Mus musculus: one gene and its partners. The protein of the gene in region 1 purifies or fractionates together with the protein of each later gene. This does not show direct contact. Links are inferred from orthologs where the notes say so. Each region holds a gene or a part of one and is shown on either strand. Other genes may lie near its edges.

Evidence for each region.
Region 2: the proteins of Sec13 (region 1) and Nup160 purify together in Homo sapiens (affinity purification with mass spectrometry; 4 studies listed by BioGRID and IntAct, counting the BioPlex papers as one, with this or other methods). This does not show direct contact. The link is inferred for Mus musculus from reciprocal best matches to the Homo sapiens genes SEC13 and NUP160.
Region 3: the proteins of Sec13 (region 1) and Nup98 purify together in Homo sapiens (affinity purification with mass spectrometry; 4 studies listed by BioGRID and IntAct, counting the BioPlex papers as one, with this or other methods). This does not show direct contact. The link is inferred for Mus musculus from reciprocal best matches to the Homo sapiens genes SEC13 and NUP98.
Region 4: the proteins of Sec13 (region 1) and Sec23a fractionate together in Homo sapiens (co-fractionation; 3 studies listed by BioGRID and IntAct, with this or other methods). This does not show direct contact. The link is inferred for Mus musculus from reciprocal best matches to the Homo sapiens genes SEC13 and SEC23A.
Region 5: the proteins of Sec13 (region 1) and Nup43 purify together in Homo sapiens (affinity purification with mass spectrometry; 3 studies listed by BioGRID and IntAct, counting the BioPlex papers as one, with this or other methods). This does not show direct contact. The link is inferred for Mus musculus from reciprocal best matches to the Homo sapiens genes SEC13 and NUP43.
Region 6: the proteins of Sec13 (region 1) and Nup85 purify together in Homo sapiens (affinity purification with mass spectrometry; 5 studies listed by BioGRID and IntAct, counting the BioPlex papers as one, with this or other methods). This does not show direct contact. The link is inferred for Mus musculus from reciprocal best matches to the Homo sapiens genes SEC13 and NUP85.
Region 7: the proteins of Sec13 (region 1) and Klhl12 purify together in Homo sapiens (affinity purification with mass spectrometry; 3 studies listed by BioGRID and IntAct, with this or other methods). This does not show direct contact. The link is inferred for Mus musculus from reciprocal best matches to the Homo sapiens genes SEC13 and KLHL12.

Annotation. Positions count from the first base shown.
Region 1 is NC_000072.6:113,734,182-113,737,681, forward strand, and holds part of Sec13 (protein SEC13 homolog), read right to left. Parts: intron 2,307-3,500; coding exon 2,191-2,306; intron 1,028-2,190; coding exon 876-1,027; intron 499-875; coding exon 365-498; intron 1-364. UniProt on the Homo sapiens protein: Functions as a component of the nuclear pore complex (NPC) and the COPII coat. At the endoplasmic reticulum, SEC13 is involved in the biogenesis of COPII-coated vesicles.
Region 2 is NC_000068.7:90,701,215-90,704,714, forward strand, and holds part of Nup160 (nuclear pore complex protein Nup160), read left to right. Parts: intron 1-798; coding exon 799-898; intron 899-1,166; coding exon 1,167-1,332; coding exon of another isoform or gene 1,333-1,348; intron 1,349-1,844; coding exon 1,845-1,972; intron 1,973-2,596; coding exon 2,597-2,757; intron 2,758-3,500. UniProt on the Homo sapiens protein: Functions as a component of the nuclear pore complex (NPC). Involved in poly(A)+ RNA transport.
Region 3 is NC_000073.6:102,151,167-102,154,666, reverse strand, and holds part of Nup98 (nuclear pore complex protein Nup98-Nup96 isoform 1 precursor), read left to right. Parts: intron 1-573; coding exon 574-872; intron 873-1,417; coding exon 1,418-1,531; intron 1,532-2,210; coding exon 2,211-2,349; intron 2,350-3,500. UniProt on the Homo sapiens protein: Plays a role in the nuclear pore complex (NPC) assembly and/or maintenance. NUP98 and NUP96 are involved in the bidirectional transport across the NPC. May anchor NUP153 and TPR to the NPC.
Region 4 is NC_000078.6:58,967,018-58,970,517, reverse strand, and holds part of Sec23a (protein transport protein Sec23A), read left to right. Parts: intron 1-1,549; coding exon 1,550-1,705; intron 1,706-3,472; coding exon 3,473-3,500.
Region 5 is NC_000076.6:7,670,504-7,674,003, forward strand, and holds part of Nup43 (nucleoporin Nup43), read left to right. Parts: intron 1-435; coding exon 436-616; intron 617-3,081; coding exon 3,082-3,217; intron 3,218-3,500. UniProt on the Homo sapiens protein: Component of the Nup107-160 subcomplex of the nuclear pore complex (NPC). The Nup107-160 subcomplex is required for the assembly of a functional NPC.
Region 6 is NC_000077.6:115,567,444-115,570,943, forward strand, and holds part of Nup85 (nuclear pore complex protein Nup85), read left to right. Parts: intron 1-919; coding exon 920-990; intron 991-1,235; coding exon 1,236-1,279; intron 1,280-2,258; coding exon 2,259-2,328; intron 2,329-2,555; coding exon 2,556-2,677; intron 2,678-3,500. UniProt on the Homo sapiens protein: Essential component of the nuclear pore complex (NPC) that seems to be required for NPC assembly and maintenance. As part of the NPC Nup107-160 subcomplex plays a role in RNA export and in tethering NUP96/Nup98 and NUP153 to the nucleus.
Region 7 is NC_000067.6:134,458,531-134,462,030, forward strand, and holds part of Klhl12 (kelch-like protein 12), read left to right. Parts: coding exon 1-136; intron 137-2,317; exon of another isoform or gene 2,318-2,354; coding exon of another isoform or gene 2,355-2,495; intron 2,496-3,500. UniProt on the Homo sapiens protein: Substrate-specific adapter of a BCR (BTB-CUL3-RBX1) E3 ubiquitin ligase complex that acts as a negative regulator of Wnt signaling pathway and ER-Golgi transport.

The DNA of each region.
Region 1 (3,500 bases):
ACACCATGCTTTCTGGCCTATTTCATACCTAAGGTCCAAGGACCAGAAAGCACAGGAACTAGATATCTAGGCCAGTCTTTAAAACTCACTGAGTTCTGGGGACCCACAGTGCTTGTCAGCCTCAGGCTTCTGTAGCCAGGTGGCTGGTCAAAGTACCCCTATGCTTCTGTCCCCAACCTGGGTCTTAGTTGTAGAAACCAGTGCCACCTCTGCTTTGGGCTGAGAAGGTGGCTCCAGCAAGTCTAACCTATAACCCTTCCTAGCCACTGCTCAGCCAGGACACCCACTCTCTTCCTAGGAGCACAGAAGACTTTAATACAGCAATTGCTCTCTCTTTCATGCAAAAGGCAGGGGCTGGACTCACCGTGTGAGCATTGTTAATCTTCTTCACTTCCCACTGGCCTTCCCCTGTATAGGTCAGCAGTGAGATGGCCCCATCTGAACTCCCACAGGCCAGGATCAGGCCATAGTCATGAGGGGCCCAGCAAACAGAGTTCACTGTGGAAAGGAGGTACAGTGAGAAGGTTTTCATCCTATATCTACTACTGCGCTAAAAACCACAGGAACTGCCAGCAGTCTTTTGACATTTGGCCAAATGAGGACAAATGAACACCTAACAGCATTTGTCTGTCTTCACAAAGCAAGGAGGAGAGGCACCCTGAGATTCAAGGCTGAGCTTGGAAAGCCTCACTGTTCTTACTAAACTTCTTTCTCTGGTCAGTCTTGGGGACTGACCTCTGCTGTGGATAGACCAGTGAAAAAGCCAACAAATGTCCAAAGGATGGACAACAACAAGAGAAGGGTCTGGGATGCGAGCAGAGCCGGGGCTTTTCCCACCCATAAGACCTTCCTACGCACTCGCCAACTCTACATACCTGAGGAGTCGTGTCCCGAGTGCTCATGGGTCTTCTCCCAAGTGCCGTTTTCCTCCTTCCAGATGATGACTTTCCGGTCATAGGAACAGGAGGCCAGGATATTGCCATACATGGGGTGGGCCCAGGCCACTTGCCATACTGGCCCCTCATGTCTGTAAGGGAGGGAGTCAGGCTGCTCAGAGGGTCAGGGGACACACAGTACCAGTTCCCTCTGGAGAGACAACACAATGTTCCCATTGTCTTTGTTTTTTGAGGCAGGGCCTTCTACTGTAGCTCAGGTTAGCCTTGAGCTTGTGATCCTGCCAGATGTGCCACCACACTTAAATTTGGTTTGTGTTCTACTAGGTTTAGAATGAGAACTCTGCATCTTGAAATGACTTACTTAACATTATATTGCCTCTTTGCCAAAACCAAGTAACAAGTAGCAGGTCTAAAAACATGTAATTTCAAAGTCATAATGAGCACAAACGATATTCTCAGACAACTACACGTAAGATGAAAACTTTTCTTGGTGACATAGTGACAGGTCTACAGTCATTACTGGAGTTTCCAGCCTACATCCAAAATAGAAGGAAATGGTAAACTCAGAGTCATGTAAATAAATGTGATTGTCTTCTCTGTCCCAGTTTGCCAAACTTGTCACCCTATTCACGGAATTTTAGCAGACCCAGGTACCCAGGTAAGGAACCTATACTATGTCAAAACCTCTGAAGGAAAACAGAGATATGACCTTGAAAATGAGCCAAGACCCCAAGGGCTAGAGGGTGAGAGAAAAGCAAACATCTTTTAAATAATCCCTGGCCATCTATCTGCTATGGGCAAACAGAACAAGAGGATGTGTAAAGTTTGTCTTATGGGCCCAGCGAGATGGCCTAGTGGGTAAAGCCCTTGCTGTGTCTGCCAGAGTTCAATCCCTGGAAGCCATGGAAAGGTAGAAGGAGAAAACTCCACAAAATTGTCTTTAGGTGAAATGCATAAATGTGTGCAGGTTGGTACTGTAGTGCTCATTGCTTCTGAACATGGCAGTGTTGCCCACATCAAAGATACTGAGGATGGGCCCTGGATAGAGTCAGGATTATCCCATCTGAGGTTAAGCAGGGGAGGGCTTCAAGAGACAAAGTGCCTCACTTCCCAGGTCTCCTGGTGATAGAACTGGGGATCATACTTGAATGTATCTGTGGCCTTACCTGCACCTCTGCTAAGGGCTCACTGCTAAATGTACTCTGAGATTGCAGGGAATCTGTACTCTCCCCTTTCCTCCCAGGCCTGAGGATCCAGCTACCCTGTGGCCTTCTCCATGTGTGTTTACACTTACCCTCTGAGGTCTGCGATGAGGATCTGCCCTCCATTCCGCACATCGAAAATTTTGACGGACCTATCCGAGGAGCAGGTTGCTAGGCGGGTGCCGTAGTAGTCCATCTGTGCATCATGCTGCAAGGAGAGGACAGCTAGGGAAGCCTGCAGGACGCGTGGCTAACCCCCAAGCCAGGGCCTAGTGTAGACCTGAATCAGGCTTCAGGGATAGTCAGCTGTCACCTGAAGCATTCACAACCTCTCAAAGGATGTGCGGTATGGACCCTAACGTCACTTTGTCACCTCTCAACTCAAGGAAAATGATTCTTCTGGAAGGTCACCTTCCCACTGGGTCAGGCCCCGCTCTCCTGGTAAGTAGGCTTGCAAGCCCATTTAAAAACCCTTTTTGGGCTGGACTGATAGCTCAGTGGTTAAGAGCACTGACTGCTCTTCCAGAGGTCCTCAGTTCAATTCCCAGCAACCACATGGTGGCTCATAACCATCTGATACCCATCTAATGAGATCTGATACCCTCTTCTGGTGTGTCTGAAGACAGCTATAGTGTACTCATATATAATAAATAACTAAATCTTAAAAAAAAAAGATTTTTTTCCAGCAGAGTACTATCCTACTGGTTAGAAAGGCATAGTATCTAAGAAGGAAATTCTATCTCCTTAGCTTACCTGTTATACAACCTTTAGAAAATTTGCTTATTTCTTTAACCTTCAGTTTCCATATCTTAAGAAGGATCTACGGAGCACAATGGCTTCACGGGTCCTTGAAGGGTGTGATGACAAGTTTAGAGTGCACCCACATGTCTCTTAACTACTGTAATGCCTCATCTGATCCTCAGGAGGAAACCAAGGTGGGTGACTGGCAGGGATGCCTAGACTGGATCTTACTGCCTCTGGGTCCATGCCGGTTCCAGCCAAGTGGTCTCACAGCTAGACCACTCACCGCCAAACCCAGCAAGATGCACAGGTTTTCACCAGAACCCCAAAGCAAGTGCCGGTGGTCAGCTGTGGAGGCCAGGGGCCTCACAGGAAAGACAGGCCACCAGGCCTGGGCCCTGCTCAGAGGCTGCCTGCATTGTTGGGCTCCAGGAAGCAGGCTGAGTTTTTCAGTTAGAGACTTCAACCTCTGGACCTTCCCTAACAGCTCGACTCTGTGCCCTGTGTTGGCTATCAAGAAACGCCCAAGAGGCCCAAGGGCCTGGTGTGGATGACTCTCTGGGGTAGCCTCTGCCCTACGCTTTCACTGTGGCTGCCAGACTTCTAACTCTCCCTCCCTAACTCCCTTTCAATAGAGCTAAGAAATAGCCTTAGGAGAAAG
Region 2 (3,500 bases), on another chromosome or scaffold:
ACCTTAAGACTACATCTTTTTTTTTTTTTTTTTTTTAAGATTTATTTATTTATTTTATGTATGTGAGTACATTGTTGCTGTCTTTGGACACACTAGAAGAGGGCATCGGATCTCATTACAGTTGGTCGTGAGCCACCATGTGGTTGCCGGGAAGTGAACTCAGGACCTTTGGAAGATCAGCCAGTGTTCTTAACCACTGAGCCATCGCTCCAACCCCCATCTTTTTTATATTGTCTTTTGATTTAAATTTGTTGTTTCCTCACCATTCAGTGTCTAAGTACATTCTGTAGATTTTAAGTTCAGTCTGTAAAGTCTTTGCCGTACAAGCAGAAAGACCCTAGCACCCATGAGGAAATGCCAGCTATAGTTGTGCATGCTGTGGTCGCAGTGATGAGGAGACAGAGACGGCTTGCTAGTCAGCCTACCCTAATTCGTGGTTTCCAGGCCAGTGAGAAACACTGCATTCCTGAGAATGACAAGCAAGATTATCCTGTAGGCATACACACATACACATCACCACTCAGATGAACACAGACACGGGTAAAAAATGGAAGGCTTAGCTCACAATATTGTTCTTTCTTTCTGTGTCTCTGCTGAGAGTCAAACCTAAGGCCTGCATGTATTAGGTAAGCCCTTTACCACTGAACTACATCCCCTAACCCCTTTCAAGTGTTAAAAATGACATGGAAAATTATGTGTACATATTCTACATAGCACAATTTGTTGTGATACATTATGGATTATGAGTTTCTTTTTGAATTATTTAAAAGAAAATAACTGAAAGGTTTGTACTTGCAGGGGTATCTGTCTTTCCTGGTGCCATCTTCCTTAGTAGATCATTTATATCTCCTGCCCGATGAGCACCTTTTGACAGAGGATGAGACGACCATATCAGATGGTAATAATTTTTCTATCTAATTGACCCCCTTCCTATATGAACCTTATATTTTATTTCAGTTGATTGATAAAATTACCACTGTGACCTGTCTTGATGAGTTTACCTTAGTCACTGAAGTTTTTTTTTTTTTTTTTTTAAGCTGGAAAGTCTTAAGTACATATGCTATAGAAAAGGGATCCTTTCTATCTAATTACAGATGCTTCTTTTAATGTATTAATCAATAGACTTTCACGGTTTCAGCCATCGATGTTAACATTCTCTCTCATAGATGCAGATGTGGCACGGGACGTCTTATGTCTTATAAAATGCCTCCGGATGATTGGAGAGTCTGTTACCATGGACATGGCAGTTTTGATGGAAACCAGTTGTTACAACTTGCAATCTCCAGAGAAGGCTGCGGAACACATTTTGGAAGATTTGATCACTATTGATGTGTAAGGAGAATTTAGGGTAAAGTACATTTCCTACTGGAATTTGGCAGTGTTGTTATCACAGATTTTAATATATGGTCAAGTATATAAAAAGTCATGGTTTAATGTTAAAGTAATTTTCCTTGATTCTAAATAGGGTTGGGTGTGTGTGTGTGTGTGTGTGTGTGTGTGTATGCTCAGTCCTGTGGAAGAGTCTGACCTTGTACATTCTAGGCAAGTGTTCTACTCTGAAGCCCCTGTTTCAGATGTTACAGAGGGCAAATAAAAACAAATTCATTAAGTATAATACTTCTGTAATCCCTTAAATAAGCATTATGTTTAAAAAAAAAAAAAACACAAGTATTTTCCTAGAATTCATTTTGTGGGTCATTCCTAAAAAGTTGAGAGTGATTTAATGTGGACTCTGAGTGTCTTGTGCCAGAATGATTATCTCCACTACTTTACTGTGAGCAGCACACATAGAGCCTGTCTTAAATGTTGTCAGTAGTAACAGGAATTTTCTAATTGTCATGTAGAGAAAATGTGATGGAAGACATTTGTAGTAAACTGCAAGAGATCAGAAACCCCGTCCATGCCATTGGACTTCTTATACGGGAAATGGATTATGAAACAGAAGTGGAAATGGAAAAGGGGTTCGATCCAGGTAACCAAGGAAACAACAAGTGTGCTTACAGAACTCAGTGATGTGGGCTCGGAGGCTAAGAGGATGGACTGTTCTTCCAGAGGGGCTGAGTCCACTTCCCAACACCCACATCAGGTGACGCACAGCCAGCCCCAGAGGAGTCTGACATCCCTGGTCTGTGCCACCTGCACTCATGTGCACATACCCACATACAGACACACACACATATAGTTAGAACTAACAAAGCCAGGCATAGTGGCCACGCCTTTAATCCCAGCACTCAGACAGAGGGGGGCAGATCTCTGAGTTCCAGACCAGCCTGGTCTGCAGCATAAATTCCAGGCCAGCCAGGACTACACCTAGAAGATCCCTGTCTTTAAAAAAAAAAAAAAAAAAAACAGAATTAAATGATACATTTAATTCCAGTTTTCCTTCTAAATTTATTACATTTATTTATTTTATTTTATGTACATATATGCACACATGCTATGGTACATAGACAAAGCTCAGAGGACAACATGTAGGGGTCAGCTTTTCCCTACCACATGGGTCCTGCGTTAATTCAGTTTATCAGGGTTGGCGGCAGGTTCCTTTACCCACTGAGCCATCTTGCCAGCATTTAACTCCATTTTTTCTTATTAACAGCTCAGCCTTTGAACGTTCGAATGAATCTTTCCCAGCTCTATGGTAGTAGCACAGCAGGATATATTGTGTGTCGAGGTGTGTATAAAATTGCCAGCACTCGATTCCTGATCTGCCGAGACCTCTTGATCTTGCAGCAGCTATTAACAAGGCTAGGAGATGCAGTAAGTACTACTTGAGGGAAAACTCACTCATAAACTCTCAAACTGCATACTCTAGAGACTTGTCTGTATTCACTGCTTCCCCTGAGCTGAGCCTAAGCAGGGCTCTGCAATACCAGCTGAGAGGAGTAGTGGCAGTTCCTTTTCTCAGAAGCAGCTTACAGAAGGCAGGCTTTGTCCTGACTTGCTGTGTGGAGGTGTAGTCTACTGTGACTTGAGGAGTGAGGTGACTGGTCGGTCACATGGCGCCCACAGTCAGGAAACAGAGGGAAAGCTGCCTCTCAGCTCACATTATGTGTGCAGTTGAGATTTAAGGAAAACATTTTAAATAGAGATTATAAATGTGGGCAGTAGATAAAGAGAGATGCTTAGAAAGAAAGATAGCCAAGAGTGTGGTATGGGGTTTTCTAAGAGAGGGCTGCTAGTTATCACTTTGTTCCTTTTATTCGGTGTTCAACCCAGCCAATGGAATGGTCCCAGCTACAGTCAAGATGGACCACCCCTCTTCAGTTAAATCTTGCTTTTATTTTCTTTAGTTTAACCTTTTTATAAACCCAAAGGTATATTTCCTTGATTCTAAATCTCAAGCTGACAAAATTAATCATCATATAAATAGAAATAAACATAATAGAATGCACTTGGACTGTCTGTGAAGCAGATTACTGTTACTAATCAGAAAACAGAAAACATATAGTAGCCAGATACACAAATGTTCCTAGCCTGAAGAAAAGTCAAAGGCCTGTAAA
Region 3 (3,500 bases), on another chromosome or scaffold:
TGAGTTTGATCTCCAACACACCCACAGAGTGAGAGGGGGTTGCTCAGATTTATTCCTTTGAAAATGAGCAGTCAAGGCTATGAAACCTAGAGCTAGATTTTCTGAGGTTTTTCGTTTGTTATTTTATGTACATGGGTGTTTTGGTTGCATGTATATTTGTATACACTTGTGTGCCTGGTGTCTTAGGGGACCGGGAGATGGTATCAGACCCTCTAGAACTAGGTTGCAAATTGTTGGGAGCCACCATGTCTGTGCTGGGAATTGATCCAGGATTCTCTATACAAAGCAGCACATCCTCTTAACCACTGAGCCATCTTTCTAGCCCTAGATTTTTCTATTTTAAAACTTCAATTCTAGATAGTACTCACAACTTTGTGATATTACACAAAATTTTTTTTTTTGATCTGGTTTTCCTGTTACAGGTTAAGAGGTAGTAATTACATCCTATCTCACACAGCTGCTATAAGGATTTATTAAATCATCTGGTGTAATGTCAGATCCTTAATAAAAATTAACTGCTGTCATCACCTTTTCTATTGCCAAAGACTAAGGTATTTTTTTCTCCGTTATCAGATTTAGCTTCCTGAGCAAACCTGTTGATGAGAACAATCAGCAGGATGGAGAAGATGACTCTCTTGTATCACGATTTTACACTAATCCTATTGCCAAACCCATTCCACAAACTCCAGAGAGTGTTGGAAACAAAAATAACAGTAGCAGCAATGTGGAAGATACCATTGTTGCCTTGAACATGCGTGCTGCTTTGCGCAATGGATTGGAAGGAAGCAGTGAAGAGACGTCATTCCATGATGAGTCATTGCAAGATGACCGAGAAGAGATAGAAAATAATGCTTACCACATACACCCAGCAGGTCAGATTCACATACTTTTTTATATCTTTGAAACAGTTTTTAATTACAGCAATGTGGTCAAAAGAGTCCACTTCTTATAGCCTAAGAGACTGTCCTATCTTCCTAACTTTGTAAATTCAAGTGGATTGTTTATTAGTAAGACCTTACCATAGTGTATTCTATGGAGACTTACCATGTTATGGGTATTCCTTTTAAGAAGAGGACTCTATGGTAAATAAAATCTACAAATCTTAGGTTAAGCAAAGTTTAGTAGACTATATTACATTTAAAATGTTTTTGTTTTTCTGTTTGTGGGAATAGAGTCTGGGTCTTGCTCATGCTTTCTTCAAACTTGCAGTGACCCTTCTGCCTCTGCACCCCAAGTTCTGCGTTGAGTATGTGGAGGCAAGTTGCTCAGAAGCTCAGGGTCTTGGCTTTGTTTTAACTACAACGCCATACTGACACATAAGACCCTGTCTCATATTGTTATATGAAAATAAAATTAATAGAACTGGTAACTGTTCTACTCAAGTATAATCACAATATTTTTTGACTTTTGGTCATAGGCATTGTTCTCACAAAAGTTGGTTATTACACTATCCCATCTATGGATGACCTTGCTAAAATTACCAACGAGAAGGGAGAATGCATTGTTTCTGACTTCACCATTGGTCGTAAAGGTAAGTGTGAGTTTAAAAGTCATATAACTTAGAGATTGGACCTTGCCTATGTTATTAAGGGCAACTCTAGGTTTTAGAGTCTGGTTTTTTGTTCTTGTTGGGTTTTTTTTTCCCCCCTGTATTTGGTTCTTTCCTGACTTAGACTAATAGAAACATTGACAAGTAATAAAGCAAGGAAGACTAAAACCATGTAGAATTTGGGGGCTTAGACATACCTGTTTGAGTCTGGTAATTATGTTTCCCATAATTCTCCATAATTAAACTTGAAGATATACTAAGTTTTTAATACAGTGATCAATTTTATATTAAATTGTTATGGGTAATTTTCTTTAAATAAACTTACTCTGTGAAGTAGTCTTTTGAATGGGCTCAAGTATTTTAGTTTATGTAGCAGACGAGGAACCAAGTTGTTCATACACTGGCACTGGAGATACTGGGGAAGATTTGAAGACACCAGAAATGTAAAGTGGAGATGTTATATCTGATAACTATATAATGCCATTCCTCGGTCCCCACTCTTGCCATCTTTAGGAGACAGAAAGCTACTCCAAGAATTTCTGGAAGGTTTAAAATACTGATATTAAAGGTTGCATGTTCTCCCTTCCTAATTACTACAGATTAAAGGAGATTTTTGCTCCTTTATGAAGGATCTTTTTTAACCATTTGCTCTGAATTTTAGGATATGGCTCAATCTATTTTGAAGGAGATGTGAATTTGACAAATCTAAATTTGGATGATATTGTGCATATCCGAAGGAAAGAAGTTATTGTCTATGTAGATGATAACCAAAAGCCACCTGTGGGTGAAGGGCTAAATAGGTATGAATTTATTTATATACAGAAATTGGAGTTTTTTCCTGAAAACACAGTCTTTCTATAAACTTTTATTGTTTGTCTACTCTTATTTGAAAGTATAAATGGTAATGATGCTCTGTGACTTTAGGACTCATACCTTTCCCTAATGGTAATGTGTTCACATGCTATTTTCAGGAACTTTCAACAATGGAAGTTTGCCTTTGCTTAATTTTGCTTTTCAGAGGTAGAGATTAAACTAGGGCCTCATACATGTTGAAAATCACTCTGCCAGTGAGCACCAACTCCAGAAAGTTTTCTTGTTTTGTTGTATTTCTTCTTGTTCTGCCACTGGTACACTCAACTATTTAAATGTGAGACTAACGTTTATTTTGTTTTGTAGGCATTCTGTTGCCATATATTGCTTGGATATGGTGGGAGGTTAGATAGCTCGCACTGTAACCGGTGTGGTGTTGAACCCTAACTTAGCTTTGATTCACGGCATTCCTGCTTCACCTCCCCTGTGCTGTAGTAACACTCCTGTACTGCTACATCCATCTTCCTCTGGATAAGATGTGTGATTGGTAAAAGTCACATTTGCAGAACTCCAGTAAACAGCTTGTTTGAGGGCTGGGAATAGGGGTGAAGGCTGGAGAGCTGGCTCAGAACACTTGCTGCTCTTGGCAGAGGCCTGTGTTTGGGTTCCCAGCAACTCACAACTGTTTGTAGCGCTGGTTCTAGGGAATTCTATTCTGTCTTGTGGCTTTCATAAACATGAGCACACACATAGAGTACATACATATATGCATATATGCAAAATACCCGACACTAAAACAATCTCTAAAAATGACATTTTTACATCTTTGGTCATGGTTGCATTTAATTCTTTTTTTTTCTTTTTTTTTTTTTCTTTTTTTTTTTTTTATGTATAAGTACACTGTTTTCAGACACATCAGAAGAGGACAATTGGATCCTGGTACAGATGGTTGTGAGCCACCATGTGGTTGCTGGGAATTGAACTCAGGACCTCTAGAAGATCAGACAGTGCTCGTAATCATTGAACTATCTCTCCAGACCTACATTTAATTCTTTTCTGCAGAAAGTATTCATTTATGGGTAGATGGATAAAGTGTAGCATGTATATATGAGGAATTATTATTATTCAGTCTTACAAATGA
Region 4 (3,500 bases), on another chromosome or scaffold:
AGTACCCCAGAGCTCATGTCTTTAGCTGCATATGTACCAAAAGATGGCCTAGTCGGCCATCACTGGAAAGAGAGGCCCATTGGACTTGCAAACTTTATATGCCCCAGTACAGGGGAATGCCAGGGCCAAAAAGTGGGAGTGGGTGGGTAGGGGAGTGGGGGGGAGGGTATGGGGAACTTTTGGGATAGCATTGGAAATGTAAATGAGGAAAATACCTAATTAAAATATTTTTAAAAAAGTAAAAAAAAAAGAATTTATACATATACATTACATATACATATAAATACATGAAAGTGCCTGAAATCCATAGCACTTGTACTCTCAAGGATTTAGGTAGAAAATACTCAACGGGTATACATACATACATACATACATACATACATACATACATACACACACACACACTCACACACAGACACACACACAGTGTGATTCTTCATGGTATAGGGTTTTAGGTGTCAATCATACTGATCCTTGTGTTGATTTTGTTGTTTTGTTTACACACTAGTGGGTGAATAGATTTGCACACAGCATAGTACTATGAAAACATAAACAGGGACGCAGAGACGAAGGGCAGGAGTCAGCCTTTGTCAGTGGGTAAACTTGCTCTTCATTACTCTATGTAACATGAAGATTTTTCTATGTGCTTCATATACCTAAAAGTGCATTGACAGCATGAGTAGAAGTGTATAAGTTATTGAGGTGATGCGTGGTTGAAGAGTAGTGTGGGTAGCTTCTGGGCTTCCATGTGGGTGTTTGGCAGAGGTCTGCCCCTGCGTGTATTCATTCAGCCAGTGCCTCAGCACGCTCTGTGGATGAAAACACCACTCGGAGCAGTTTGCACGGCACATTCATTTTTCCTGTGCTCGAGCTTCTCGTGTAGTATAGTGCATCTTAGATGGCCTCATTTCTCTAGTTACCTTATTTGTAACTTTAGATTTCACTTATTGGTGAGGATGGCTGAGTGTTGAGACGCTGATATGATAGCCCAGCCTTCTCTTATATTCAGAATACTTCTACCTCAACCTTCTGTGCTGGGATTACTGGTGTGAGCCACCACACCTGACCTTCTAGTATCCTTTTAAATAGAACTATCCAGTGCTTTTACAAGGATTTATTTACTGGGCATGGCGATGCATGTCTTTGATCTAGCACTTGGAAGGCAGATCTCTGTGAGTTTGAGGCCAGTCTGATCTACATAGCAGGTTCCAGGCCAGCCATGGCTATATGATCAAACACTGTCTCATTTTTAAAAAATTATTATTTGTTGCCAGACAGTAGTGGCACACTCCTTTAATCCTAGCACTTGGAAGCAGAGGCAGGTGGATTTCTGAGTTCGAGGCCAGCCTGGTTTACAGAGTGAGTTCCAGGACAGCCAGGGCTATACAGAGAAACCCTGTCTCGAAAAACCAAAAAAAAAAAAAAAAAAAAAAAAAAAAAAAAAAAAAACCAAAGAAAGAAGATAAAACTTCCTTCGAAGAAAAATCTACTCAAGAATTTTAGGTTACCAAGAAATTTAAAATAATTCCTTTAATTATTTTAAAATTAGACTATAGCACAGTGGCGGAAGTCAGGATACCAGGACATGCCAGAATATGAGAATTTCCGGCACCTTCTGCAAGCCCCAGTAGATGATGCACAAGAGATTCTTCACTCCAGATTTCCAATGCCGAGATACATTGACACGGAGCATGGTGGCAGCCAGGTGAGGAACACCCTGTGTTGTGTATGCAGGGCTGCCGTGAGGTGATCCTGCTTGTGTTCTGATTGTATTAGGAGCTATCTGCCACTCAAGGCCAAGGGCAAGGGAAGGAGGCAGATGGGAGGGAACAAAGCAATACAGTTATTGCCTAGTTGCCCAAACAGCCAGTTTTTTCTAATTCTGCTTCCATCATAGCTGTTGTAATCGCCATAATGCCATCCAGACAGTGTGCCAGCTGTGGGTTAGCAAAGATACAAGGGCAGCTTGCAAGACAATTTAGTGTGCTTTTCTTAAATTAAAGCCTATGAGGGTTCTAATTTGTTTCAGTTTTATAGAAAGTAACTGTCAGGTTCAAGAAAGCATTGTGGTATTCAAATGGGTTTTATGGTTCTTAGAGCTCAAAGGAGTCGTGCACATGTGGTCAGGCCAGGGCTGCTTAGCACACCTCAGGAAACCTTTCTGAGCAGAGCTGGAACAGTACTCCTAGTGTGAGTTGTCACACATTTTACTTCTTCCATAAGTAAAGCAGGGAGATAGTTTGTTTAGTGTTGTGTCTCTCTCTCTGACACAGTGATGGATCAGCACCGACTTTATGTACAGTGGTGATTATTAGTTTTACTGTGTTTATAACAGGAGCTGTCTATCATGTACGGAGACTTTGCAAGCATTTTCCATGCCTCCTTCATTTGAGCCTCATACCAATTCTATTATTATCTCTACTTTATATATAATAGAGTTAAGACTTGTTATATGTACTATCAAGGAAGCACATTGAGTGGAGCTAGGTTTTTTTTTTTTTTTTTTAAAGAGATAGTGTCTTAGCTACATAGCTCAGGTGGACCTTGAACATTCTTTCTGCCTCAGTCTCCTAGATACTGAGATTACATTTGTAAGCTTGCCAATCCTAAGTAGGAGTTAATTGAATTCCAGGCTTCTTATTCTAGGACTAGAGCTACTTAGGGAATAGAAAAACATTTTTCAAAAGATTAAATTGCTTTTGTTCTTCTAGAATGAATTAAGATTTTTGATGAATTCATTCATCAATATCTTAATGTGTATTGTTATTTTCCTTATCTAATTACTCATTTATTTATTGATTGATTAGCTGTTGTAGAGGATGGATAAATGTTGCCTAAGTTATCACCTGTGGATTAAAATCATTTTTACGAGGCTTTAGACTTCTTTTGTTTCAGAGTAGTTGATAAAACTGTATTTTCACATTCATTTTAAAATAAGGTTTGTGTTAACAAATAAACATTTGCAGTCTTATTTTTATTTCATGTGTTTGGGTGCTTTGCCTGCATTGATGTCCGTATAACACAAGCATGCAGCACTGGAAGAAGTCAGGAGAGGGAGTCAGATGCCCTAGGTTAAAGATAGTTACAGATAGTTGTGTGTCACCAGTGGGTTCTGGGAATCCAACCAACCCAGCTCTTCTGGAAGAGCAGTCATGCTCTTACCTGCTGAGCCATCTCTCTAGTCCTGTACATACAACTTTTTATCTGTTGAGTTTGGGATTCAGTAGTCTATTATCTTATGAATGCTACAAATATGTAATGTTGGAAGAGTATATTATTTGTATTGTGGTTAATGCATTTTTTTCGGTTGATGCATTTTAAAATTTAACTTTGTAAGTATTACATTTTAACAAAATTACCAAAATATTCAGTTAAGTTGGGTTTAAATGGTATATTGTCTGTAGCTTATCTTACTAAGTCTGTGTTTGATCAGCACTATTTATTTATTTATTTATTTATTTTTACTTTTAAGGCTCGTTTCCTCCTTTCGAAAGTCAACC
Region 5 (3,500 bases), on another chromosome or scaffold:
TTTGCTCCCCAATGTCACCGTGACCAGCTTTAATTAGTTTTCTTAATGGAATCATGTAAAAAAGATATAGAGGTTAGTTCCTTACATATGAATTTAATCATAAAACTTTAAAGAATGTGTCAACATTCAGCTATTTAGTAACAAAAATCATTAGTTTGAGATAAATGTGCTGAGTCTATTCAGAATATAAAAAAAATTAAGGGAAGTAGTTTCTAAACATCAGTATGCTCAAATACAAAGGAAAGGGGAGACTTGTTCTTTCTTCTACAAGGACATGAAATACAACTGAAAAATACTATTATTAGGTAGGCATGGTGGCTCACCTATAATCCCAAACACTTGGAAGTCCTGTTTCAAAAATCAAAAATTCCTGGAGAGAAGGGCTCTTTTGTTAGAACTTTGCTCTGATTAACAGTGCTCATTTCTGATGCCTAGACCCTGTCCGTCAATCAGCAGTGGCCTGCAGCTCATTACCATACAGGTCCCAGCAGTCCCTCCTATAGCAGTGCACCATGTACAGGAATTGTGTGTGACAACCCAGAAATTGTTACAGTTGGAGAGGATGGCCGAATAAATCTCTTCAGAGTTGATCACAAGGAGGCTGTCAGAACTATAGGTGAGGAGTCCTATTTCTTCTATTCATTACATAGTAATTGAACTAAGTAAACATGATCTTAAAAGCTTGAAGGGTGTGAAAATGACACTTGGCAGGATCCTTGTAAAAGATAGTGTACGGATAGTCTGGTATAAATGATTGCTAATAGAACAGAAAGATGTAGTAGGTGGCAGTGTTTGGTTTTAGCTAAAAGGAATTATCACATAACTAGGGAACAAGTGGCAATTAGTACATTCTTGATTCTGTACCATAAATAACACTAATATATGACACACAGAAAACATGGAATAGCTGGGCGTGGTGGTGCACGCCTTTAATCCCAGCACTTGGGAGGCAGAGGAAGGCGGATTTCTGAGTTCGAGACCAGCCTGGTCTACAAATGAGTTCCAGGACAACCAGGGCTACACAGAGAAACCCTGTCTCGAAAAAAAAAAGAAAAAAGAAAGACAGACAGACAGACAGACAGACAGACAGACAGGGAATAGCATGGAGATGGTAAACCTAGACAGCAAATGACAAAGTTTACTGTGAGCTGGCCTTAGATATTTGTTACTGGAGAGATGACAGGTGAAGCCGGAAAGGGAAATTGGGATGGATTGCAAAGGTATTGTGAATGCATAGCAACAGAAGCTAGGGATCTGTATGTGGTAAACAGATTGCTCTTGAACGTCTTTGCACGAGGAATGACTGACACCAGTCGTGATTTGGCCAGTGTTCTAGTGAGATGGCTCTTACTATGCTTCACTAAGACTTGCCTGAGAAGATTCCAGGCCCCCCCACCCTAGACCTGTTGGGTCAGAATCTCCAGGTCTGCACCAAGGCATCAGTTTGTGTTCTTTGTTCTAAGTGCTTAATTTCTGAGTTACAACATTCGCTTAATTGTTAAGAGCTGTTGGCCTGCTAGCAATGTACAGAAGTGGCACAGGTTTAAGTTTGGAAGTATCTATCATGTGCCTCGAGTCTAAACACTTAGGAAATTCAAGAAAAGAATCATTATAAAAGGAAGGTATTGGGCATACTTGTGTAATCTCAGCAGTCTGGAGGATGAGGCAGGAGGATACTAAATTCAAGGTGAGCCTGAACAACATAGTGAAGTCCTGGCTCAAAGCTTCCTAGAGACCCTTTTAGCAACCATGAAGGGGAAGGATGTAGGTGAGGAAGCTGCTGACGAAGGTAAAGATGGGTGGATTTGACATGAGTCTGTCTTGGGGGCTCCTGGGGGTCCCACTTGGGGGTGAATAATAAAGACACAGGCATCTGTATAGTCTAAGTCTGCTAGCCTTTTTTGCTTTGGGACAGTCTCCTGAGCTAACCATCCAAACTGGACCTGACTCCCCTGCCACCGTGGTCCTCCCTCTGTCTCCCTGCTCTGCCCCCTCCCTGTTCCAGCCTTAAGCTCTTTTTTTTTTTTTTTTAAGATTTATTTATTATTATATCTAAGTACACTGTAGCTGTCTTCAGACACACCAGAAGAGGGCGTCAGATTTCATTATGGATGGTTGTGAGCCACCATGTGGTTGCTGGGATTTGAACTCAGGACCTTTGGAAGAGCAGTCTGTGCTCTTAAGCACTGAGCCCTCAAGCTCTTTTTATTGTTACACAAAAGGCATCATTAGCAAGTTAATTTCCGCATACCAAAATTTCTTATTTGATCTAGGGGTTGTCTTGAAAGACCCATCCCCTAAGCAGTTCTTAGCTAAAGGAGACTTCCTAGTTTCTTCCTGGTTTGCCTGGCCTATCTCAGGACTAAACTTTGCAAACCCCATAAAAGTTTAGATGACAACCACTGACAAAAGGCTACTTCAAAGCTTAGGTCCCTTCACTGCAGATTCATGCCAGATACAAAAGCTCGGCTAGAATTTTGCTGTGTGAGTCTGAACAACAGTATAGAATCAGAGTAAGCTTTGTGCCTGTCAGTGGGTAAAGTTTTCTGCCAAGTACTAGCAGAGCTAAGATTGGATAGACAGGAGCTTGAACATCTATCTCAGACACAGTGCCTGTTGGGGTGAGACATAACTATAGTTCCATCACTAGGGAAGCTGAAGGCAGGAGGAAAAGAAAAGTAAAAAGGAAGAATTCAGTATAAAAAACAAACGGCCAATCAGCTCTGCACTTAGAAAACAGATGGCCTGGGAGTGAAGCTTTCTACCAGAGACTGGAAGAGAGTATTTAGACATGTATTTTACTATTTCTTTATTAAAAACTATGCTGAGTCATTAGTCATTTATTTATAATATTTCAACCAGTAGGGGGACGTGGTTTACTTTTGTTTTGTTTTGTGAGACAGGGTTTCTCTGTGTACCCCTAGGTGTCCTGGAACTCACTCTGTAGACCAGGATAGTCTCATGCTCACAGAGACCTGCCTACCTCTGCCTCCTGAGCACAGCGATTGAAGGCAAGTGCTGCCACACCTGGCTGGAAATGTCATTAAAAGGAACCTGTTAACGCATTTTTAAAACTTGCAGATAATGCAGACAGCAGTACACTCCATGCCGTAACCTTCCTTCGAACTCCTGAGATTGTTACAGTAAATTCAATTGGACAGTTAAAAATATGGGATTTCAGACAACAAGGAAGTGAACCCTGTCAGATACTATCACTGTAAGTTTTGTCATCTCAGTATTATGATAAAAAACTTGTTTAATTAGTTATTGTAGTCAACTGTATTTTTATTTGTATGAGTGTTTTGCCTGCTTGTATATCTATGCACCACAAGAATGTAGTGCCCCCAGAGGTCAGAAGAGGGCATTGAAGCCTTAGGACTAGATTTACAGGCAAATAGAATTGCCATGTGGGTACTAGGATTGAACCTGGGTCCTAACTGCTGAGCCATGTCTCTCCAGTCCCCCAGCTTTGCGTTTTAATGAATTTCAGAAACACTGAT
Region 6 (3,500 bases), on another chromosome or scaffold:
TTCATACACCTGGCATGCACTCTGCTGACTTGTGTAGCCCAGGCTATGTATGTGCTCAAATACGTGTGTATCCTTGAGTTTCTGGTCCTCTTGCCTCTACTTCTCAAGCTCAGGGTTACAGACACGATTACCAGGCTTGTGGTAATTCAGTGCTTGGAGCATCGAGCACTGAATTTTAGCAGAAATTGATGCAGAAGCCGTGGAGGAGCCCTGCACACTGCCATACTGTCGTGGCTTGCTCAGTCTGCTTTCTTTCTTTCTTGTTTTTTTTTTAAAAAGATTTATTTCTTCAGACACACCAGAAGAGTGCATCAGATCCCATTACAGATGGTTTTGAGCCACCACGTGGATGCTGGGAATTGAACTCAGGACCTCTGGAAAAACAGTCAGAGCTCTTAACCACTGAGCCATCTCTGCAGCCCCTCGGTCTGCTTTCTTACAGCAGCCAGGACCGCCAGCTTCGGATGGCACCTCCCATATCAGTTATCAACTGAGAAAATACGCCACAGGCTTGATTACAACAGTAGTGCTTTTAACCTGAGCCGTCTTTGCAGTCCAGACTTATTTTAACCATGTATGTGTAGGTGCATATTGGTGCAGGTACCTGTGGGAATCAGAAGATGACATTGGGTTTCTTAGAACCAGAATTGCAGCCAGTTGTGAGCCATCTGATAAGGGTGCTGGGTACTGAACTCTGGTCCTTTCCAACAGTAGTACGCACTTTAAAACCACTGTGACAAAGCTGTTTGTTTGTTGTGTGGTATGGTGTGACCACATGAGTTTATATGTACTGGAGGCCAGAGCACTCAGAGCTCCTGGAATTGATGTTGCAGCCCGTCTCCTGTCTTTTGATTTCTCTCTTTCTAGCATCAAGATACGGTTCCATGTCATCTTGTATGTCATTTCATTTTTTTTGTAGATTGGTTCGAGTGAGTAAAAATTACCGTTCAGTCATACGGGCCTGTATGGAAGAAATGCATCAGGTTGCAAGTAAGGACCCTGTGTGTGTTTGAAGTACGTTATCTGGTGCTGTTTTCTCCAGAGGCCTTTAAGGAGGCTGCTGTGCAGTTCATAATAGGTCCTTGTTTTAATGTGTGATCCATAAGCGTTTCACATGAAAATGGGTGGGTGGTAAAAGAAACCAAGGCAAAAACCGTATGGGGCTTCTGAGGGCTTAGGAGATGAGCTACATTCAGTGCAGGTTGATTGACTTAAGGTGTTTTGTATTCTGCTAGTTGCTGCTAAAGATCCAGCCAGTGGCCGGCAGTTCAGCAGCCAGGTAAGGTGTAGCTGCTTTCATTGTATTGGCAACATCGTGTTAGTGCGTAGGGTGGTGGCTTTGTGGTCCCTGTTGCAGGAGGGCTCTCCTTTTCAGGTAGATCAGCAGCTCTTTGGGATGGCAAGTATGGCTTTGAAAGTGTTGGTCAAGGTTTTAGCCCATGGGAACTCAGGGTTTTCATTGCTTGTGGAAAAGATGAGTCCTAACACATGGTGTTTGTGAGTTGTCACTTGAGATGGAGAACCGAGCTTCTAGGACTACTGCTTGGTCTCATGAACTCAGAATTGTTGTCAAGCAGCATGTGGTTATAACTCAGCAGGACTAGAAGGCGACATCTAGGACTCTTTCCTCAGTGAGACCCCAGAGCTTTTCTAACTCATGAACAGGGAAAATAGGCTTTCTCTGATGGGCACAGTATGCTCTCCCCCTGGAACAAGGGGTGATGGAGGGGGGTGGGGTGGGGTGGGGGACGTTCATCTTCCTAAAGCATCTTAGGTTGGGCTTTGCTTTTTCGGTTGTTGCAGTGCCTGGTCTTGGTTCCAGTGTTGTAGGTGTGCTAAGTATGCACACTGTTGCTGAGCTATGCCCTCGGCTGACATGTCACCTTTTTAAAACAGTTTTTATTGTGTGTATGTATGTACAAGCGTACCTGTGCATGCATGTGGAGGACAGAAGAAGATGTTGAATGTCCACTCTCTCTGCTCATTCTCTTTCTTCTTGATCCTGGGAGTTGTGTTATTTTGGCTATGCTGGACACCAGCAAGCTGCAGTGACCCTCCTTTCTGTTCCCTTTGTAGCTGAGGCCTCAGATGTGCTCAGGTCTCCAGCTTGTTATCTGTGTGCTATGATCCAAACTCTGCTCCTGATGTGTGCACAGCAGAGTCTATTGACTGTGAAGCCATCTCTCTTGCTGTCTGTTGCTTTGCATTCGAGTTTCAGTAATAGTTTCAGTTAAAACTAGTCTCCGTTTCTTCCCTAGGTCTCCATTTTGTCAGCCATGGAGCTCATTTGGAACCTGTGTGAGATTCTCTTTATTGAAGTAGCACCAGGTAACCCCAATTTGTTTGTTTCATGTAGCCTCACTTAGCCCAGGCTAACTCTGTCTTAGCATCACAGGGTTCCTGTCGTCCTCTGTCCTTCCTAGTTGCAGGGAATAAATAGCCCTCTGTCCAGTCAGGTCCTCTGCTATAAATCCACGTCCGTGTCTGTACTTGGGTGGAGTGGAGATGCCGCAGATGAAGCTGAGCTCTTTTGTGTGACATGAGTCTCTCCTCAGCTGGCCCTCTCCTCCTTCACCTTCTTGACTGGGTCCGACTGCACGTGTGCGAGGTGGACAGTTTGTCGGCAGATGTCCTGGGCGGTGACAACCCAAGCAAGCATGAAAACTTCTGGGACCTGGTGAGTGTGCGCGGACGGCAGCCGCCCGCCCTGTGCACTCTGCGCGCTGCAGTCGGCTGACTGGGAGGACCCCTGCTCCAGCCTTGGCTCAGCTCTCTGAGTTTATGATTGTGGAGTAGGTTTTGCATCTTTCCTTCTCTGCTCCAGAGCAGTTTAAAACTAATTTAGCACGGGGAGCGGTGCTTGGTAAACTTGCCGTCGTTTCAGGAGGATTTTGTTTGTAGGTCTGAGGAAGAGAGGTTATAAGGGGACCAAGCGGTTGATGGGGTGCACATGAGCATAAGTGGTCTGAGGTAGAACACTCTGGGGCAACAGTTCACAACCTGTGGCTCATGCTCCCAGGGGATTTGCATATCAGATGCTTACATTACTATTCATGACAGTAGCAATGAAATAATTCCATGGCTGGAAGTTAGCACAATGTGAGCTCTGTTAAAGGGTCTGGGCACTAGGAAAGCTGAGGCGCACTGAGGAAGGACCTTGAGGTGGCATTGTAGTGAGTGCCTACATAGCATCTGGGAGACCGATCTCCAGCACCACAAGGCGAGAAAGGATCTTTTTGGTTACTTTGTTGGCTTATTTTGTTGAATTTATTTATGTATTTTAATTCAGGGTTTCTTTGTGTAGGCTTGTCTGTCCTACCAGACTGGCTTGGAACCCACAGAGATCCACCTGCTTCTGTCTCCTAACTGCTGAGATTAAAGGTGTGGCCACCATTGCCCCATTATTTTTTTCTCCATGAGACAGGGTATCTCTGTGTAGCCCTGGCTGTCCTGGAACTACTTTGGTTTGCTTTTTGAGACAAGGTCTCACTGTGTAACCC
Region 7 (3,500 bases), on another chromosome or scaffold:
CAACTCCATGAACTCCCTCAGGAAGAGCAACACCCTCTGTGATGTGACCTTGAGAGTGGAGCAGAAAGACTTCCCTGCGCATCGGATTGTGCTGGCCGCCTGCAGTGATTATTTCTGTGCCATGTTCACTAGTGAGGTAAATGCAAGTCACTGCTACCTAAGTGAAATTCGCATTGTAACCTTGCAGTCCTCTTATTTCAAGGGACAAAATAGCATGTGTTGGTGATTCAGCTATGGCATTTGTCAGCCAATTGGTCACCATGGTTAATCTTGCTGTCACTGTCACGTGTGTCTTCTGAAGGGGCTGCTCAATCAATGGGGATTTTTTTCCAACACACAGTCAAAAGTCAAAAGTATTGGGGGGGGGCGTGTCTTCCCTGTTAGAACTTCCAAACAAATGCTTAGTAAATAAAATAGAAATTTGAAACCAGATATAGTTGCTCACATTTAACAGTCCTGACAGTGGGAAGATCACCATAAATTTGAGGCCAGTCTGGGCTACAGAATAACACCCACCTGAAACCACTCAACAAGGAAGGAAAAAAAAAAAAAGTCTGGTAAACCAGTGAATCTGTATAATGTGGTAGTCAAATAGGTAAGCTCTGAATAAGACATGTGATGGCTTTCTCCTTCAGATCATCAATAATTGCTGGGCGGTGGTGGCGCACGCCTTTAATCCCAGCACTTGGGAGGCAGAGGCAGTCGGATTTCTGAGTTCGAGGCCAGCCTCGTCTACAAAGTGAGTTCCAGGACAGCCAGGGCTACACAGAGAAACCCTGTCTCGAAAACAGAAACAAAAACAAAAAAGAATTTTGGGGACTGGAGAAATGGCTCAGAGGTTAAGAGCACTGACTGCTCTTTCAAAGGTCCTGAGTTCAATTCCCAGCAACCACATGATGGCTCACAACCATCTGTAATGGGATCTGATGCCCTCTTCTGGTGTGTCTGAAGCAACAGGGTACTTATATACATAAAATAAATAAATATATCTTTAAAAAAATCATCAATAATTATAGAAAATGAGTATGCTACTGATACAGATTTCAGGGTGACTTCCAATGAGGGGAGAGGGGATTTAATGAATGGCTGTGTGGTGTTAACTTAGCCTGGTGAGATAGCACGTGGCTGTAATGCCAGCAGTGGGGAAGTGGAGTTCAAGGCTGGCCTCCTGGTGAGACCCTGTCTCACCCAAACAAGGGTAGGGGATGTAGCTCAGTTGGTCTGATGATTACCTAATATACACAAAGCCACGAGATTAAGACCATCCTTGCCTACATACAGAGTTTTAGGCTATTTGGAACTATATGAGATGTTTTCTCCAAAACCAAAATTACTTTGAGAGAGAGAGACAGACAGACAGACAGCAAGCTGGTTCAATAAGTAAAGATACTTTCCATCCAACCTCATGGACCAGATTCCAGTCCCTGAGACCCACGTGGGGTGTGTATGTGTATGTTTGTGTGTGTGTGTGTGTGTGTGTGTGTGTGTGTACACAAATGTACTTGAGTGTATGTATGTGTTTGTCTGTCTTTTTTTCTTTTTTTTTTTTCTTCTCAAGACAGAGTTTGTTTATGTAGTCTTAGCTGTCCTGAAACTTGCCCTATAGAGCAGACCAGCTTTGAACCCACAGGTCCACCTGCCTCTGCCTCCCAGGTGCTAGGATTAAAGGGATACACCACTATCTTCTGGCTTAAAAGTTTCTAAAAAGTAAATAATATAAGAATATTTAAACTAGTCTTTATAAGTGTTTTAAGTTGAGGTATATGAATAATTATCACATGTTTAAACTTAGACATATATCTGAATTATTTCATTATGCAGGCTTTTTGTTTATGTGTGCCTCCATGAATTTTATGGGCATCATGTACAAGTGGGTACCCTTGGAGTCTAAAGGGCATCAGATGCCCCAGAGCTAGAGTTCCAATGGTTGTGAGCCACCTGACATGGGTGCTGCAAGTGCTTTAACAGTCTCTCCAAGCCTCTGGTATGGGTGTGTGTACATCTGGTTTTGCTTGTTTGTTTGTTTGTTTTGGTTTTTCAAGACAGGGTTTCTCTGTGTAGCCCTGGCTGTCCTGGAACTCACTCTGTAGACCAGGCCTGCCACTGCCTCCCAAGTGCTGGCATTAAAGGCATGCACCACCACTGCCTGGCATGTGCGTCTGTTTTTGAGGAAGAATCTTAATGCCTAAATTGGCCCTGAATACTCCATCTTTCTGCCTCAGCCTCATCAAGTATGGAGATTATGGGTGTGTGTCATCCTGCCTTGTTATGATAAGACTCTATAAAAAGTATCTCTAACCACCAGTATTTTCTTTAGTTAATACCCATCACCATGGGGCTAGAGAGATGGCTCAATGGTCAAGAGCACACTGGCTGTTCATCCAGAGGATCCAGGTTCAATTCCCAGTACCCACATTATGGGTCTAACTCCAGTTCCAGGAGATTTGACACCCTCATACAGAGATACCTGCAGACAAAACACCAATGTACATAAGGTAAAAATTTACAAAAAAAAAAAAAAAAGTACCTGTCAGTGTAATGAAGTAGTTGTTAGACCCAGATAAAAAGGGAAATAGGATAACAGCTATATCTATGGGCCCAGTTAAACTGCCATGTTTGTCATTTACTCTGGGGGTAAATATTGCCATTTCATTTTTCAGATGAAGGGTCTCAACAAATGCCTTTCAATGTCACATCACTTGAAAATACTACATAGAGGTAGGCTTTGCCTCTACAGCATGTGGCTGTAAAAAATGATTCTTAACTGCCATTTCAGCCATAAGGCTGGTAGGAGAAATAGAAAGCAGTCAGGCCGTTGCGGCAAATCCTGACTAATTTAAAAACCATCTTGAATAATACAACAGCACAGATCTCTAGCTTGTAGTGTTCTTCAGGATGTCTGCCCCCAAAACATTAGCATTTAGCTGGGTAGGGAGAGTTAACCAGAAGTGCTGAGCATGAAATGGCCTAAGCCTGCCAACTGCTACTACAGTCCTGCTGAAACAGGACGTGTCCTGCTTGCTGTTGTCTTGAGAACATCTGCCTGCACTGTTTTTTTAACATTGAGAGATTTCTGGAATCTTGGGGGGAGAAAAAAAAAAACCTCATTTCTTTTCATACATGATTCTTCTTTCTTTCTCTTTCTCCTTCTTTTCTTTTCTTTTTCTTTTTTCCTTCCTTCCTACCTTTTTTTCCCCTCTTCTTTTTAAACAGGGCTTTTCTATGCCTGTCCTAGAACTCTTTCTGTAGACCAGGCTAGCCTTGACCTCGAAGATCCACCTGCCTCTGCCTCCAGAATACTAGAATTAAAGGTGTGTGCCACCAACGCCTGGCTAGGGATTGATTTGTTGTTGTTTGTTCTTTTGTTTTTTGTTGTTTTGTTTTGTTTTGTTTTGTTTTGTTTTCAGAAACAAGGATTCTGTGTATAACAGAGCCCTGGATGTCCTGGACTTGATTTGTAGACCAGGCTGGCCTCGAGTTCTGTCTTTGTCCTAGTCTCC